Lepisosteus oculatus: one gene and its partner. The protein of the gene in region 1 interacts with the protein of each later gene in a pairwise test. Links are inferred from orthologs where the notes say so. Each region holds a gene or a part of one and is shown in the gene's direction. Other genes may lie near its edges.

Region 1 (7,978 bases):
AGGATTGTTCTGCGAGAAACCCTGCAACTCTGCCGTCTTTCCTGTTAGATTTGAGATGCAGTCAGGCCGGGGCTGATTAATGCTTCAGAGTCCTCATAGTAAGGAAGTGGTCCTAGTGTGCCAATAGGTGGCACTCTCCCATCTAGACCAGATTTCCAAACTCTCTGAAGTGATATCATGTCAAAAACGGGTCATTGTTCTGTAGGAAGTACCCCTTCAGTCTGAACCCGGGTCTCTGCAGTCCGAAATCCAGTCTGGAATTGGGGACCCCTGAGCTTGAAGGAAAATCGGAGGTTTTGTCAGGACCATGTTGGATATTGTGCAGTAGCAGGGATATTAATCCCCAGTTTGGAGACCAAATATAAAAGGGTTACAAAATCTGTAATACCTGAAGTCCACATCTGTACCTTAATTAAGGTTGATGTCTGTATCCAGCCTCCCCTAGAGACCCATACTAACCAGGTCTTGCTCCGTGGTGAAAGAGGAGTTTAATTGTCACGGAGGATGTGATCGTGAGTTTCACTTTGCCCTGGACACGCCCATGAGGCAGCGCGGGTTGGCTCGGTGTGGTAAACAGTTCCACATGGGGGGTGTGTTGAAGGAATGAGTCTGCTAGTGATAATCTGCTTCGAGCCCCCAGAGTGGCTCATGCTGTGAAGGTGCTCACCTGTCTGCAGGCTGGGCCCCACGATCACGGGTTCGAGCCGGGGGTCACACCACCAGCCCAGCATGACTGGGATTCGCAGAGGGTGGGGTGGGACTGAGTCTGTGGGCACCACAGCGCCTCCTGTGGCCTCCTGGGGCGCTTGCAGGCCTGCGGTGCGGTCAGCGAGGGGACGTGCCTCCTCCAGTCGGCACTGGCCCTGCAGGGCGGGGCGGTGCTGCCTGTGACGTGTTCAAACACGAGGGGCTCAAACGGCCGGGGGGGGGATCCCCCTGCTCTTCCTCACGCTCCCCCGTGTGCAGTCACAGGGCAGCTGGCGATTCTAAACTAGGCGGGCAAAACCAAATTAATCTCTGAAGAGGAAAGCTGACAGTCAGCTTGTAGATGGACCCGTGCAGAACCAAGAGGTTCCTCTGTCCAACGTCCCGGGTCTGTCCGTCTCTCTCCTTCAGCACCCCATCACCCGGTGGATCGTCCGGAACTTCTACGACCCGCCAGAGAAGGACTACGAGAAGATGATGGCTTTGATCCAGATTGAGGCGGAAAAGGCCGAGCTGAGGTCAGTGGCGGCGTGGAGACTGGGGAGCCCCTCCGCTCTCTGAAGCGGCTCCGTGGAGCTTGTCCCCCCTGCTCAGCTCGGCGAGGGGTCTGACTGAGCGGGCTCTCCCTTCTTTGATACTTCAATACTGCCCGTGACATCGAGAAGTAAAATCCCTGTAGCAGTTATTGTTTCATGCCCTTAGCAGACCCCTTGTCATCGTCCTTGTGTTTTGGGGGAGTCCTGGCTGACGTTGGTGTCTGTGTGTGATTGCGCGTGCCTGAGGGGGGCCCCTCGGCCCATCGTTGTTCCGGCTGTCCCGGCGGGGGGCGGGGGGCGGGGGGACCCACTCTCCAAGAGTAACGCGTTGCCTTTGCTTGCGCCACAGGCTGAAGCAGCAGGAGGTGCGCAGGCACATGCGCCAGAAGGGCGACGGGCCCTGGTTCCAGGTGGAGACCATGGACAAGCAGCTGATTGACTACTCCCACAAGGCCACGCCCGACAACTGAGGCAGCGCCGGCCTTCCGCGAGCCGCAGAGACCGCCGCCTGCTCGCCCGCTCGGCGGGGGCATGCCAGTAATTTATCCCCTGTATATGTTTGTATAATAATGCTCTGGCTTTAAATAAAGCCTTTTCAATGTTTCAGCTTTGTTTAAGAGTGCTGTTTAAAACTGTGATCCCCTGTGGTCCCTGTCCTGCTGACCCGGTTCTGCTCCATCCAAACCCTCAGGTCTACAGTCAAGTCTTCATTCACTTAATATGGGGCGGAGCGGTGGCTCTGTGGCTAGGGATCTGCCTGTGGCTGGAAGGTTGCTGGTTTGTTACCTTAATCCATTGAGCGCCTGAGCAAGGGCCTTAACTCCAACTGCTCCAGGGGCGCTGTATAAACGGCTGACCCTACCCTCTGACCCCCAGCTTCTCTCCCTGTCTGTGTGTCTCATGGAGAGCAAGCTGGGGTCTGCGAAAAGACAAATTCCTAACACAAGAAATTGTATACGGCCAATAAAGTGATCTTATCTTAATAGTTAATTTGAACTGTGTCCAACTCTTACACACATTCAAGCTTTAACCAACATTGCCTTTTTCGAGAGATTTACATTCTCAAGCTTGTGACTACTAACAACACGCCAATGTTGAACTGGAGCAGCTCCTTGTTGATCCAGTAAGGCCTCAGTTATCTGCTGGAGGTGGGAGGGACTGAAACCCAGCAGGTGTGGGGCTCACCAGGACCAGCACTGGGATCTACTAGATTAAAGAGAGAAAACTATTCATTTTAAAAAGATTTAGAACGTTTCCTTTCATTTTTGAGCTGGTCATTTTTTTTTCTCCCAGGAAGTGATGGCAGTTTTGTCTTTGTGTTCTTAAGGAGATGGCCACCTGCTCTGCCCACATGTCTTTTGTCAATTAGATGTGATGCTCAGGGTCTATTACAGGGGTGCCCAACCTTTTTTTTTTAATGAAAGATTTACTTTTTCATGTGCCAGTCCCGCGCGAACTACCAGTGTGAATTTGAAGCTCTGATATAGGAAAAACAGACTGTGGACACATCAGTACAATAACTATACCCATCACTAAAATGACAGCAATTAAAAGCAAGTGACTCAGGCTACAGTGAACAAGTCATGTTCCCCATTTTAGAAAAAAAATATCCTACCTTCATGTCAGCATTGACACTGAGAAGCTTACTTGAGGACACTTGTAATCGTTTTTTTGAGCGTGTTGACACTGCTGATCGTGTCGAAGACACTTTTATTGTGTCCCTGCAGCTCGACATTCAGCTCATTCGGCAGTTCAGTCAAGTCTGGGAGGACTGCTAAGCCCAGAAGCCACTGGTCGCCCTCTCATTGGGCACATTCACCGTGTTTAGACTATTTGAGAAACTCTCATTTCAGGCAATAGCTGTCTGTCTGTGAAATCTCCAAACAGCAAGTCAGCAGCAGCGATGATTGCTGGTTTCCCTCCAGTGTTAGGCCACGTTAAAACCAACTGCCGCTAGTTGAGATTTTAATTTTTCAACTTTTTTCCGTAACTCACTTTTAGTGGGGAAAGCACACATCTTACATTTTGTGTGCAGTTTTGAAATGTGGTTCTCTTGTTTCCCTTTTTCGCGTAGACGCTAGCTTTGCAGATTTGAATGCGAAAGTACAAAAAAATAATCGCGCCCCCATTCCTCGTGGTGAGGGTAAGTCTTCGGGCTCTTTGCTTCATCGTATTCGCTCAAACACTACAACTATCATAAAAAGGGCAATCTAACTCCTCAAACTGTTGGCGAATTTGTCACGGCCATTTGTCTGGTTCGCTCCACCATGTGCTGTGGCGAATGTGGGGTTCGTGCAGCAATAGCCAAGGGAGGGGTCTCGGGGAGCCCACCCAACACTACAGAGCACCTGTAGCCTTTTCTTCAGTGTGGGCCAGCACTCAGGGAAGAGACTCTTACAACCCATTCCACAAGGGTTAAGCACAAGCAAGGGCAGTAAAATGTATGACATTACATGCACAGATCTGAATGAATTTTTAGGCTATCTAAAAAAGTAGTCAAATAGCCCATTTATTTGATACCACACATTCTTGCGATCGACTGGTTGGGCACCCCCTGGTCAATTACCCAAGAAATGCAAAACAGGCACTTAGAACTGATCTTTACTTTATCCGAGGAGAGCGACACTCTGGAAAGCTCGATAATCCAAAAAGATCATCATTAACACACAACTGAGTGAGAGAAGCCCTAAACCAGACTCGTGGTTGTGGCGCTGAAGCTGTGAGATGCTGCTGTCTGGTTGGTCACTGGCTTTCTTTGTCTGGTGTCCAAGACATTTCTGGGAAAGCAGTCTGCTCCTCTGTGTGATCAGCAGGAAACAGGTGAATATCGGGTCGGATGTGAAATTTTCATGCAGCTCGTAACAAGCCCTGTCCCCACGCCCACCTTGGACTCGACGTCTGATCCACCCGAGGTTCAGCAGAATCGATTTACACTTTCATATATGTTCGGTGCTTTAAAAGACGTGTTGACTTCAGGTCAGCCGGGTCCGAGGAAGCGGAGTCGATTCGGGGCGTGTTCGTCCAGTCCATCTGAAGGTCTGCTCTCTTTGGGGGGGCGTAATTCGCACAAAGGACAATCGGGTATTTAAGATAAAAAAAAGGTCGAACGCTGTTTTACAAAACACCTTATACGGGCAGGTCATCTTACCCCCCACCTCACGTGAGCTAATCGCTAATCAATGACCAGTGACCGCGATGAAGGAGTTAAAAAAATTGTAACATATCCTCCGTTAGAACCTCTTGCCTCTTTATAACCTTCTTACCTGCTTTATTCGTCGGGTTTCAGCACCGTCCGGCGCTGCTATATTGTATATTGTCGCATAACCCCGCCATGCGGAATTTGCAACCTCATCTGAGCGGTGACCAATTTCGTTTTGAAGCTTTAAAGGACCGTTTCCACGCCGCGGGCGGGCGGGCTTCGTCGGTTTTGTCACGCACCGTCGCCAAATTGATTACAAACGCCGAAACCTCGAGTCTCCTTTCAAACGACGCGCCTCCGCCGGGGAAGGTGGGAGACGCGGAATTGGGTAAATTGACAGTCGGCAGCGCCAAATTCACGGCGAAACAGAAATCGATGTAAACCCAATAGGGGGGTTAAGAAATACCGCCCGAGCACCTAATATATATATATACGTTCAATTTTAATCTCGCTCTCCTCCTCCCCCCTCGCTTCACAGCGTCACTCTCCCGGATCCTGCAGGAATGTCGGGTCTGTGTTCATTTAAAAATAGCATCATGTGCTAGCTGCTCTCCCAGACTTCCAGCTCCGTCTCCCTCGCTCGCGGTAGCATTCTGGGGCTGGAGGCAGGAATGCGAAGATGGCTGCAGACTTGGGAGAGCTGCTGGTCCCGTACATGCCCACCATCCGAGTCCCCAGGACCGGGGACCGGGTTTTCAAGAGCGAGTGCGCCTTCTCCTACGACTCCCCAGTAAGTGCTCGGCGGTGCCGCGCAGGCGGCCGTGCGGCCCCGCTGGACACACGTGAACCGCGCTGCGCACGGAGGGGGACCGGGGGTCCGTGTCCGTGTCCGTGTCCACCATTCTCTCGACCAGCTCGCAGCGCCGGCTGAAATAACTCACCCCGTCCTGCCCTCCCGGTCTCCCTGCCTTGAGCACTGCTAAGACGGCGGTTGTGCGATTCTCGGTTATCCCACCCCCCTAACAGTCTTTGGTTTTCGAGTGCGGGCACAGCTTTGAGTCCAAACTTCCTCCGCGGAGAGAGAGAGAGAGGGTTTTTCAGCACTGCCGCCGGAATGCGGTAGGGATCTGTAACTTCACGCATGCAGACTATAATGCGTTTTTTTTATTTTTGAGAGAGGCGCAGACAGCTTCCCCGAGTCGGTTTTGTTTTTGCTTTGTGATTTGTGATTTGACAGCGCCCTGCTCGTAAAGATTGAACGCTTTTCGAAAACGGGTCATCCGCAGCGCTTCTTCTGGGCTCAAATTTTCCTGGAGTGAGGGAGCCCCAAAGACGTGCCCGTTTCGTGTCTGGGCTGGCGAAACCCGCGTTCGCCTGCTCTTAGACGCGAAACAAGGCATGTGTTCTAGTTCTTCAGTATACAGCGGTGTAATGTCACCTTTTGTTGCAAAATGTCACGCTGAACATGAACGCTGAAAGGGACAGCATTTCCAGAGGAGCAAGGGAGGAGCAAGATTTAACCTTCAGGAACCACGTGTTGGGGAATATTAACCAAAACCAACACTTTATATAAGTCAGTTCAGTTTCTTGTGTTTTTAAGGACGTTGCCCTAACTTTCTATGTATTATTTTATAAGCTGGGGCAGATTTAAAGGTGACTCAGCTGTCAGGTACTCCTCATGTCGGCTGGAAAGCCTGGGCTATTTTTAATCTCTTTTTCAAATGGCTCATGTGTCGCCCACCCAACTCCATTAACCCTGGGGTCTCGTCCAGCTCGTCCAGCCTATCGCCACGAGGGACAGAAAGGAGAAAAAAAAACGATTGCGATGTTGTTTCCTTTACAAAAGAAACTTTAAAAAAAACTCGCAAGTCTTTTCTACCACAGGAGACTAGGACACATTAGAATAAATTAAGATGATTTCGGATGTATGGTGTAGTTAATTCGATAACTTCTCCTGTCCGGCCTTGTCTTGGTTACCAGGAGGGATTTATACTGAAACGCACATTACTGTGGGCTGTAAATCCTGTGGTAATCTGCTGAGGGCTTCACACCTGAGTTGCTGTTTTTTTAAATGTATGTTGTGGTTTCTATTGTAGGATTGAGCAGGTGCTCCTGGTTCTTTTTAAATGACAGGTGTTTCTTGGGTTTCGCTGAGATAAAAACATTCACAGTGGGCTGGAACAGATGTCTTGTAGCCACAACGTGTCCATGCGCTCATCCAGCCCTCTGGAAAAGAGTTGGTCAGGCACACTTTTCTGTTTTATAACAGGAGGACTGTTTTATTTCTAGAATGATTTAGGCACTTAAATCTCTGATACATATTCCTCTGCAGAATGAGGCACATTTACTGTCTAACTCAGCAAAGTTTCTTTGCATGTCAGCTGACTCTGAGCTAAGTGTTATGAGTTTTCATTCATCGTCCATCTGAAAATTTATCGATGAAGTCAACCCAGCAGACATCTTGAAAAGCGACCAGTGAAACCTGAATGGGTGCACCTGAGTGGAACTGTGAGTTTCCCCACTCTGATATTGAAGTTGGAAATGGCTGTAGCTCTGCTACATGGAAAATGGCTGAATTGATTGAATTAAGGTTTGACAACACCGACGTCTCCGCTTCTCAGTGGCCTTAAGCTGCTGATGAAGAGACAGAGGCGAGACAGGTTCCAGATTCCAGGAGGTTAAGTGCCAAACTAAACAGTTGGTCTTTCTTATAAATCTGTGTTGACTGTTTATTACAATCTGATTTCTAGACAGGTGATCCTCTCCTTTCGTTCTGAAACCATTTCCGTAACGTTTCATGTGCCGGGTGCTGGGTGTGGTGGTCAGTAATTTCCCCGAGTCAGTGTTTGTCACCCTCTGAGGGATGTGTGCTACGCTGCAGTACAGACCTTTGTCCTTCCGCTGCCGGAGGCCTGTTGTTGACGTCTTCTTCAGTGAATACTTGAATGAAATGCTCATTTAGTACATCAAGTTTCAAGTTCAAGTTTCAAGTTTATTGTCATTACACTCATATACATGGTATATGGTATAACGAAATGCTATTTAGCTAGCTCTCGGACATAAGTAGTACAAAGAGAAAAACAACAACAACAACAATACAATTGTGTAGCAAAAGAAAGACAGAGACAACAGGCAGTGTGCAAAAAACAATAACAGGCAATGTGCAAAACAACAACAAGGTAACAGGTTATGTGCAAAAATCTGCATCAACAGAATAAAATAAAGGGATAGAAATTAAATTACATCAGCCCCTGTCTAGAAGTTTCCTATTATTGTCTCGGGTATATTTTACTTCATCCTTGACATTTCTTTACCTGCTGTAACACTGAAGGAGCTCTTTATTCACCTTTTACTTTTTAGCTTCCATTAGAATATTCTTTTCAATTCTCTCTTGGCCTTTCTAATATCCTTTTACCCATGTGTTTGCAATTGATTGTGCTGCCTTACCTTAGCTAGATCCTGTTGTTTTTTTAATTGTTTCTCAGAGCACATTCTTTTCCTTTATTTTTCTAAGCCATTTGTTGAATCTTTCGGGATGGGATGTCATTTTTTGGCTCTTTCTCCAGTTCCGGGAGAGATTGAGTTCTGTGCTTGAAGC
Region 2 (7,275 bases), on another chromosome or scaffold:
ACTCTGCTCTCCTCCCCACTAATAGCTGATGTGCGGTGAGTGTACCGGCGCACTGTGGCACTGAGGGGAGCGCTTTGAGTGGAGTGTCCAGAAAGGCGCTATGTGAGTGTAAGAAATATTTATTAGGATAATTCTGTAAAATGCAGAAATGATAAAACAAGGAAAAACACTAAAATTTAGTTTAAAATTCGGGAATATAAATGGATTTTGTGTTTTCTGTGCTATGATATGTGAAATAAAAAGCTTGTGTCTTTATGATAAACAAAAAAGTGTAAGTCCATTAAACCGAGAGTTTACGGTATAAACATGTTCAAGAATCAGAAACAGATTGAATTATTTTTTTACACAAGCAATGTCCGAGCACAAGAAAAATTAAAAAGGCTCAATCTACTGAAAAGAAATCAAACCAGTGAAATGGCTTGGTTTAGCATTCAAGCCGCAATGAATACTTGAGATCAGCAGTTGTACCTGAATCGAAGTTACGGTAGGAAATTTAGGAAATTCAACGAGCTTCTTTGATAAATGTTGATTAAGGTATAATTAAAGAGAACAAGTTATTGTATTTAAAAAAAAAAGAAAAAAGTTTTACTCCTTCGAGCCGGATTCGAACCAGCGACCTAAGGATGTCAGTGTTACCGCTACAGTCCTCCGCTCTACCAACTGAGCTATCGAAGGGTCATGACTTTCTTCCCCTCAAAAACTAATCTTAGCTTAGAAATATGGTCATTTTACAATTTTATTGTATTTTATTGGGGGCAATCATATTTTTCCCATCCCCGTAATTAGAACCTAATTATTAGATATGAGGTGAGTTCAAACGCAGTGTGCTTTTATTTTGCCAGAACCACTGCGTCCACGACGTGACTCGGCCGGTTCCGTTCCCACAATCCTTTTCTTCCTTGAAGCCAAGAGTCTCTGCCTGAGCCAATCAAGACCCGCATCACTACCAAGACGTTTACCAGGAATTGACCAATCGCAGCGTCTGTTCTAACTCCTGCTCCTTTTTTTCGCCCAATCACAGCCCTCTCTAGTGCAAGGGCTCAGGTTTAGCCAATCACGTGTCTCTTCTGCTGTCCAAACAGGCAATGCGAGGAGTTCTGTTCTCTTGCGTGCTATGTGTACTGCGTTCTCCTGTTGAAAACAGTTTCTTATTTTACACAGTAATCGCGTCGGCTCGTTCTTTTATTTTTAATGTCGTTGTTGATTCTCCCGCGTTCTTTGAAATACAGTTTTTTTATTTTCAAAAGAACCCCCTCGTCTATTTTTTTCCAATGTTAGTATCTGCCGGCGTCTCCGAAGTATAATTAACATAGAGGAAACATCTGCTGTGTACTTCAAGAAAAGATCCACAGCTTTGTGTGTCGATGTAAAGATCTGTTTTATTTATTACGAATTGAGGATTAAATCGACTTTTTTGTATATCAACCCACTTATTGATTATACGTCTATGATCTTTATATTATTGACATTTTGCTTTCAAGTTTATTTTTTTATTGTTAAATGATCTTAATCTGGAAACTAACGTTTAAAAATTAACCTGGGCAGTCATCTGCCTGTACAAGAACTGATTTGGTACCTGGTATTGTCCGGGTACAGCAACGGTGTTTCTTCAGGGGTGGAAAAACGATAAATTGTCGAGAATGTGGTTAAAAGGGGGGAGAACTATCGTTTTTTTTCCTAATAAAGCGCCGTGTAATCCTGACCATCCTCAAAACACAGTCCATAAGTTATACATATAAAAAAAACAGTAAGCAGAAAAGAAAATAGCACTATTTATAAATCCATCCATCAATTTTCTAACTGCCTCATCCACGCAGCAGAGCCTACCCGAGAACACCATGGGCTCCAGGCGGGGTGCGGTCTTTTTTTTGGATTGCACTGAACCACGGGAATCAAACACTCAAACTTCGGGTTGCAAAATGCAAATACTAACCGCTTCGCCACCCCACCTTTCTCAGGTCATGGATTGTGTCGTAAACAATTCTTGGTCACCAAAAAGCCTATGGGCATAGATTTACACGATATCACGTATCCTTCAGACAAACGTGAGTTTTTATCGACACGTTCAGTGAACTGTTAAATTTGCCGTGAAAACAACAAAAAAAGCACTAACTATAACATAAATTTAGCTTAAAGACCACGTGTTATCAAAATGAGCAATTTTTAAATAAAGGTGGCAAATCCATCGACAATAAAATGTGAAAATGAATCACATCACCCGTACACACAACGTGTCGATGTCTTAAATATTACAGCAAAAATAGATGCTTACATTAATATTGAAGGCTGTGAACTGGATCTTGCGTCAAGATCCTGTATTTAACCTTACTTGTAAATTTACACTACTAAAGTCATCAAGTGCTGAAGAAAAGTCGGTGGGTGATATTGACGCAATGAAGCGATTTGATATCGTGTTACTTTTTATGCATTGATGATTTTTTTTAGTGGTTTGGTGGTGTTTGAAATTAAAACGAAAACATATTTTGGCAAATCAGTTTAGTTAACAAAAGTTGTGCATTGAGGGCTGAGTGCATATCCTTTGGGGACCGCACTAGATTTTTCTTCAAAGAAGAAATAGGACCAAAAAGGATTAAAATAGCAGGAAAAAGACAGCTGTACCGTAGTGGGGAATTAGCTCAAATGGTAGAGCGCTCGCTTAGCATGCGAGAGGTAGCGGGATCGATGCCCGCATTCTCCAAGCTGTTTTTTTTTTTACAAAATCTTCGCTCTCACAAGATACACTTTCACAAAATAACTTGATAATTTACACCATTTATAAATTCAAGGACCCAGTTCTCCACCTTTGCTTTTAGCCTGTTTTAGGGTTACCACACTTGATCATTCAAAAATGAGAACACTCTTTTGACGCGGAGGATTATGGTTTGGGGGCTGGTGGTATTTGTATCACTACTAAATCGAGTACTTCTTTACAAAAACCAACAGGTAAGTGAATTAGACAGCCCTACACCTATAATCAACACACAATCGCTATTGATCAACACTCTCCTAATCCGAAGCACCATTCGAATCGAGGATCTTTGGGGGAAAGAGTAATGGGGAAAAAAAAAACCTTTTAAAAATTCCTCTCGATAGAGATTAAAGAACCAAAAAGGAAAATTAGTCTGGAAAAAAACGGATACAGGGTAAACCGTTGTAATTTACGATCTTTCAGACAGTTTAAATTCGGGCGATTTGTTTCCATGCCGAGTCAGAAAGCACGAGGTAGCCGAATACCACAATACATTTTAAAAATAAACCTGAGAATCCCAGCCGTGTTCAAATTTATCCCAGCACCATCTGTGAAGCAACTAATTATAATAACATCTGCACTTAAACATTGAACACCAGCTCTAAAAGCTTCTGCATTGAGAGCACTTCGTCTCTTTATAATAAAAGATAAACATAACATAAAAACGGGAAAACAAAAACTTACATTGCGCAATATGTGTTTATAAGATACTTTCTAAATTAAAACAGGAATAAAAAGAAGAAAAACAGTAAAGACAGAAGGTCTGAAAATTCTGTTTTATACAAAAAATGAACCTATGTAGTGAAAAAGTATTGGGTGGTAAAGTATTTTTGATATTTAGGTTTTCTAAAATTAAAATTTGTAGTGAAACCAAAAAAAGGAATACAGTATAAATTAATTTTCGCTAGACCTAATGTTCTTTTAAAGATCGGGTGTTAGGAAAAATAGGATTTTGTACACAAAAGTATCAGTATTTATTGATGGGGCTGGGTATCTGATGGTTTGGGGTCACAAACTACACAATAACAATAACAGTTACAAGATAAATATTAACATAATAAGCACAGATTGACTGATTATGGTTGTTGAAGCCATTTACCAACCAAAGCAGAGCTGCAGCTGAATGAGAGTTTCATTTTTCAAATAACGGTTTTGATGACAATACCATACCTATTGTTGCCCTGAAATTTATTTGAGCAGTTTGAAAGACTGAATCCTCTTTGTTTGTTTTTTTTTTCTGAATAAGATGCCTTGTCTTTGGCCTTTAATTAGAGAAGGCAACGTAATGAGGAAGACATAGGGCAGTGTAGCGTATTCGAGCGTATTCTCGTGGTTTTAAAAAAGTTCCCGCACTGTGACCTCAGCTGTTGGTCTCCATAAAGTATGCGGAGTGGCTCTGTTTTCTTTGAACCCACAATGCTCCTTTCTGTCCCCTTCAGTGGCGGAGCAGCTGCCAGGATCTCTCCTCTTGTCGTTTTCATATATGGTCAAGTCAGCATGGCAACCTTTGACGTTGATGTTTCTAAAAACAGCGCCCTGACACTCAGCCGACCGCTGGCCATTAAGCAATGTGATCTGAGTGAAGATACTCTGAGGACGTTTCTTCAGACCCTGGGCTCTGCATTGTTACAAGGAAAGAACCTCCTCCCTCCCCCCACCAGGTACAACGTCGGCGAAACTTTTTTCCCCTCTTTTTTGGGGGGATTTTGCTACGTAAATCACCTTGCCTTGCGGTTCTTTGGAGTGCGCAATGAGTACTTCCCTGGAGCACTCGTATTCCAAAGAGAATCACACCATGGACAACCTGGAGAAACAGCTGATTTGTCCCATCTGTCTGGAAATATTTACCAAACCTGTGGTCATCCTCCCTTGTCAGCACAACCTCTGCCGGAAGTGCGCCAATGATATTTTCCAGGTAGGTGTTGTAATCAGCCTGGAATTAAACTTTGCATACTGTGTTGCTTTGTGTGCTTTTCACTCTAGGTCATTTAGTAAGAATGTCTGCAATTAAACATTGAATATGAAGAACATGTAGTGGGATTGCGGGATCATTTTTTTTTCTGTGCCCTTGTGTTCTGTTCCTGGTGGGTATAGGCCTCAAATCCTTACTTACCCACCAGAGCGGGCACCACAGTGTCATCAGGAGGCCGGTTCCGGTGCCCATCCTGCAGACACGAGGTGGTTCTGGACCGACATGGGGTATATGGGCTGCAGAGGAACCTTCTGGTGGAAAACATCATCGATATGTACAAAATGGAGTCCATCAGGTGAGCCTGCATTCGATGGAAATAATCATGCTACTGTACCGTATGTGAAGTCAGCTGTACTCACGCTCTGTTTTAGTCTACACTACGATCATAGCTGACTGGAGAATTTCTCTCTTTAGGATACAAAGACCTCAAAATGCGACATCGGTAACTGTGATGAGATTCCCAATTCCAAAAAGGCTGCATCACATGAACACAGCTGTGCAAAAGGCCTACCTTACATTCACTGTTGTGAGTTTCATGTCTACAAAATAAGAATTAGAATCACATTTGAAATCTTCTTTATGTTCCACATGCAGTAGATACTGTAATGCCCTCGCCTGGTGGTGAGGAGGAAGCGCTACAATATTTTCCTTTGACCTCACTGAGACACCAGGAGAATAAGTTGTTACGTAGACAAACTTTATCTCACTGCTTTTTAAAAAAAAAAACATTAAAATGTTTTCTTTTCTAGTATGCTGTTTATATTTGAAATGAGCTTTTTAAGAGCTATGTTTAAGAGCTTTTGTTTTAGTTCACAACCTTGTGCTTTTGCACAAAAAATTTCGACTCCATCAGGACTGCCCTCAAGAGATACTGTATAACAAATTGGCAGTTAAACAGAAATCTATCGTCTGTAATGTTGTTGCCTGTACAAGACAAAACCCACTGTAGTCATGATGTGAAAACTGTAGCACTGAGAAAGTTTCCCCCTACGTGCAAATGAGTCAGCAAAGCAGCATTCAATATCCGGACAGATCCTTCTTTTAGACAACCTTGCAGCTGTGATTTGGACACAAGCAGTGTGACTGAGGTCACACCTTTGATGGCAGGATGAAATTAAATCTCATAACTAACCGTCCGCACCAGGCTATATGGCACTGGTTGTCATTTTAGATTCTGCAGCCTCCCATATATTATGTGTTTACCAGAGTTGAGCATTTTTTTGTGTGAATTCTCCCACACAAGCAAAAAATGTATGGGCTGTCCCAATTTGTGGAGGAATCCAAATGCATTGGGCATTGAGCATCCTTTCTGATTATAAAAGCTGCCACTTCCTGATGTCCTTTTATGGGGCTAGATGGTAATATCAGCTGAGATCTAACTCTGCTGAAACTTTCCTATAGCTGATTCAGGTTACATTCAGGTGGAAAATGCAAAAAAAACTTCTTTATCACAGTGCCTGTAATAGGACCCAAGAGATTATGAATGGAAATGTGCACAGAACATCTTTGATTTATGTGGTCACAGATCCACACCGAGAGAAGTGTTTGTTTCTTTCTACCATGACACATTATATTGCGAAATTTAGTAGTAATATCCGTGATATCTTGAAAAATCACATTACTTGCACCTGTGTGTTGAACTAAGCAAGCAGAACTTGAATATTGCCCTCACACTTGTTTGGCTTGGCTGTTGCGATGAATATATTCTTCTGATGAGCAGGCTGGTTGAAGTGACTTGATCCCAAAGGACACAAGCTGTCTTAAATTATCAGAAGGGACATACAGTACTTGTCACCACAGGGTCTTTATTGGGCCCTAAAATTGAATTAATATACACTACAGCAGTAAAGTTACACCTGTTACTGTTAAATGTTTCAGGCACATTTGTGGTGATTACTTACATGAATATTAAGTGCTCCTCAGGTGGTTTGGATTCACTGACTCCTTTCCTGTCACTTAGAATTTTTCCTCATTTGCCAAGACTTTATTCCTAAAAGGAACATATTTCAACCAGAAAAGAGTAGCTCATCGATTTTTTAACTTATTTAGGTAAATTAAAAATTAAAAATGGCCCAGCTCATCAGTTGAAATAGCACAGTCAAACCTCATCTGGATTGCACCCAGATGGGGTGGGGATGGGAGACTTTTAGAACAAGACCACTCCACAAAACTGCACTTGAGGTCACGGAGCTATAATGTGTTTTGATGACTCACTTGGCAGGACAACCTTGGCAGTGGTCCCGGCAGATCTTCGCTCCCGGCTAACCTCTTCAGAGGGGCCTCTTGTGCCTGAGTTTGGATACACAAATTTCTCTTTACTGTTTGAAAGACAGCAATTATCTAAATAATAATAGATTTATGTTTGGGCGCTGAAGAGGCACCTGGAGCTTTTAAAACCACTCAGACTACCCAAGGTATTCCTGAGTGCCTTGTTCAGCCCCGGTGCTTTTGCTGGCTGAATCAGTTCCAGGACAAAAAGCATCAGTCAGGATTTTTCCGTATTATTTGCTAAAACAATTATTTCTGAACTGTATTAAATTGAATCATTTACGTC

The links. The genes of interacting proteins can lie anywhere in the genome.
Region 2: the proteins of usp13 (region 1) and trim55b interact in a two-hybrid assay, tested with the Homo sapiens proteins (2 studies listed by BioGRID and IntAct). The link is inferred for Lepisosteus oculatus from reciprocal best matches to the Homo sapiens genes USP13 and TRIM55.

The regions. Positions count from the first base shown.
Region 1 is NC_090708.1:1,728,243-1,736,220, forward strand, and holds the start of usp13 (ubiquitin carboxyl-terminal hydrolase 13), read left to right. Parts: upstream 1-4,969; 5' UTR 4,970-5,059; coding exon 5,060-5,170; intron 5,171-7,978. Other genes in the region: ndufb5 (NADH dehydrogenase [ubiquinone] 1 beta subcomplex subunit 5, mitochondrial), read left to right, coding at 1,117-1,223, 1,591-1,711. UniProt on the Homo sapiens protein: Deubiquitinase that mediates deubiquitination of target proteins such as BECN1, MITF, SKP2 and USP10 and is involved in various processes such as autophagy, endoplasmic reticulum-associated degradation (ERAD), cell cycle progression or DNA damage response.
Region 2 is NC_090701.1:51,231,623-51,238,897, forward strand, and holds the start of trim55b (tripartite motif-containing protein 55b), read left to right. Parts: upstream 1-4,270; 5' UTR 4,271-4,499; coding exon 4,500-4,664; intron 4,665-4,843; coding exon 4,844-5,016; intron 5,017-7,275. UniProt on the Homo sapiens protein: E3 ubiquitin ligase that plays an important role in regulating cardiac development and contractility, muscle growth, metabolism, and fiber-type differentiation.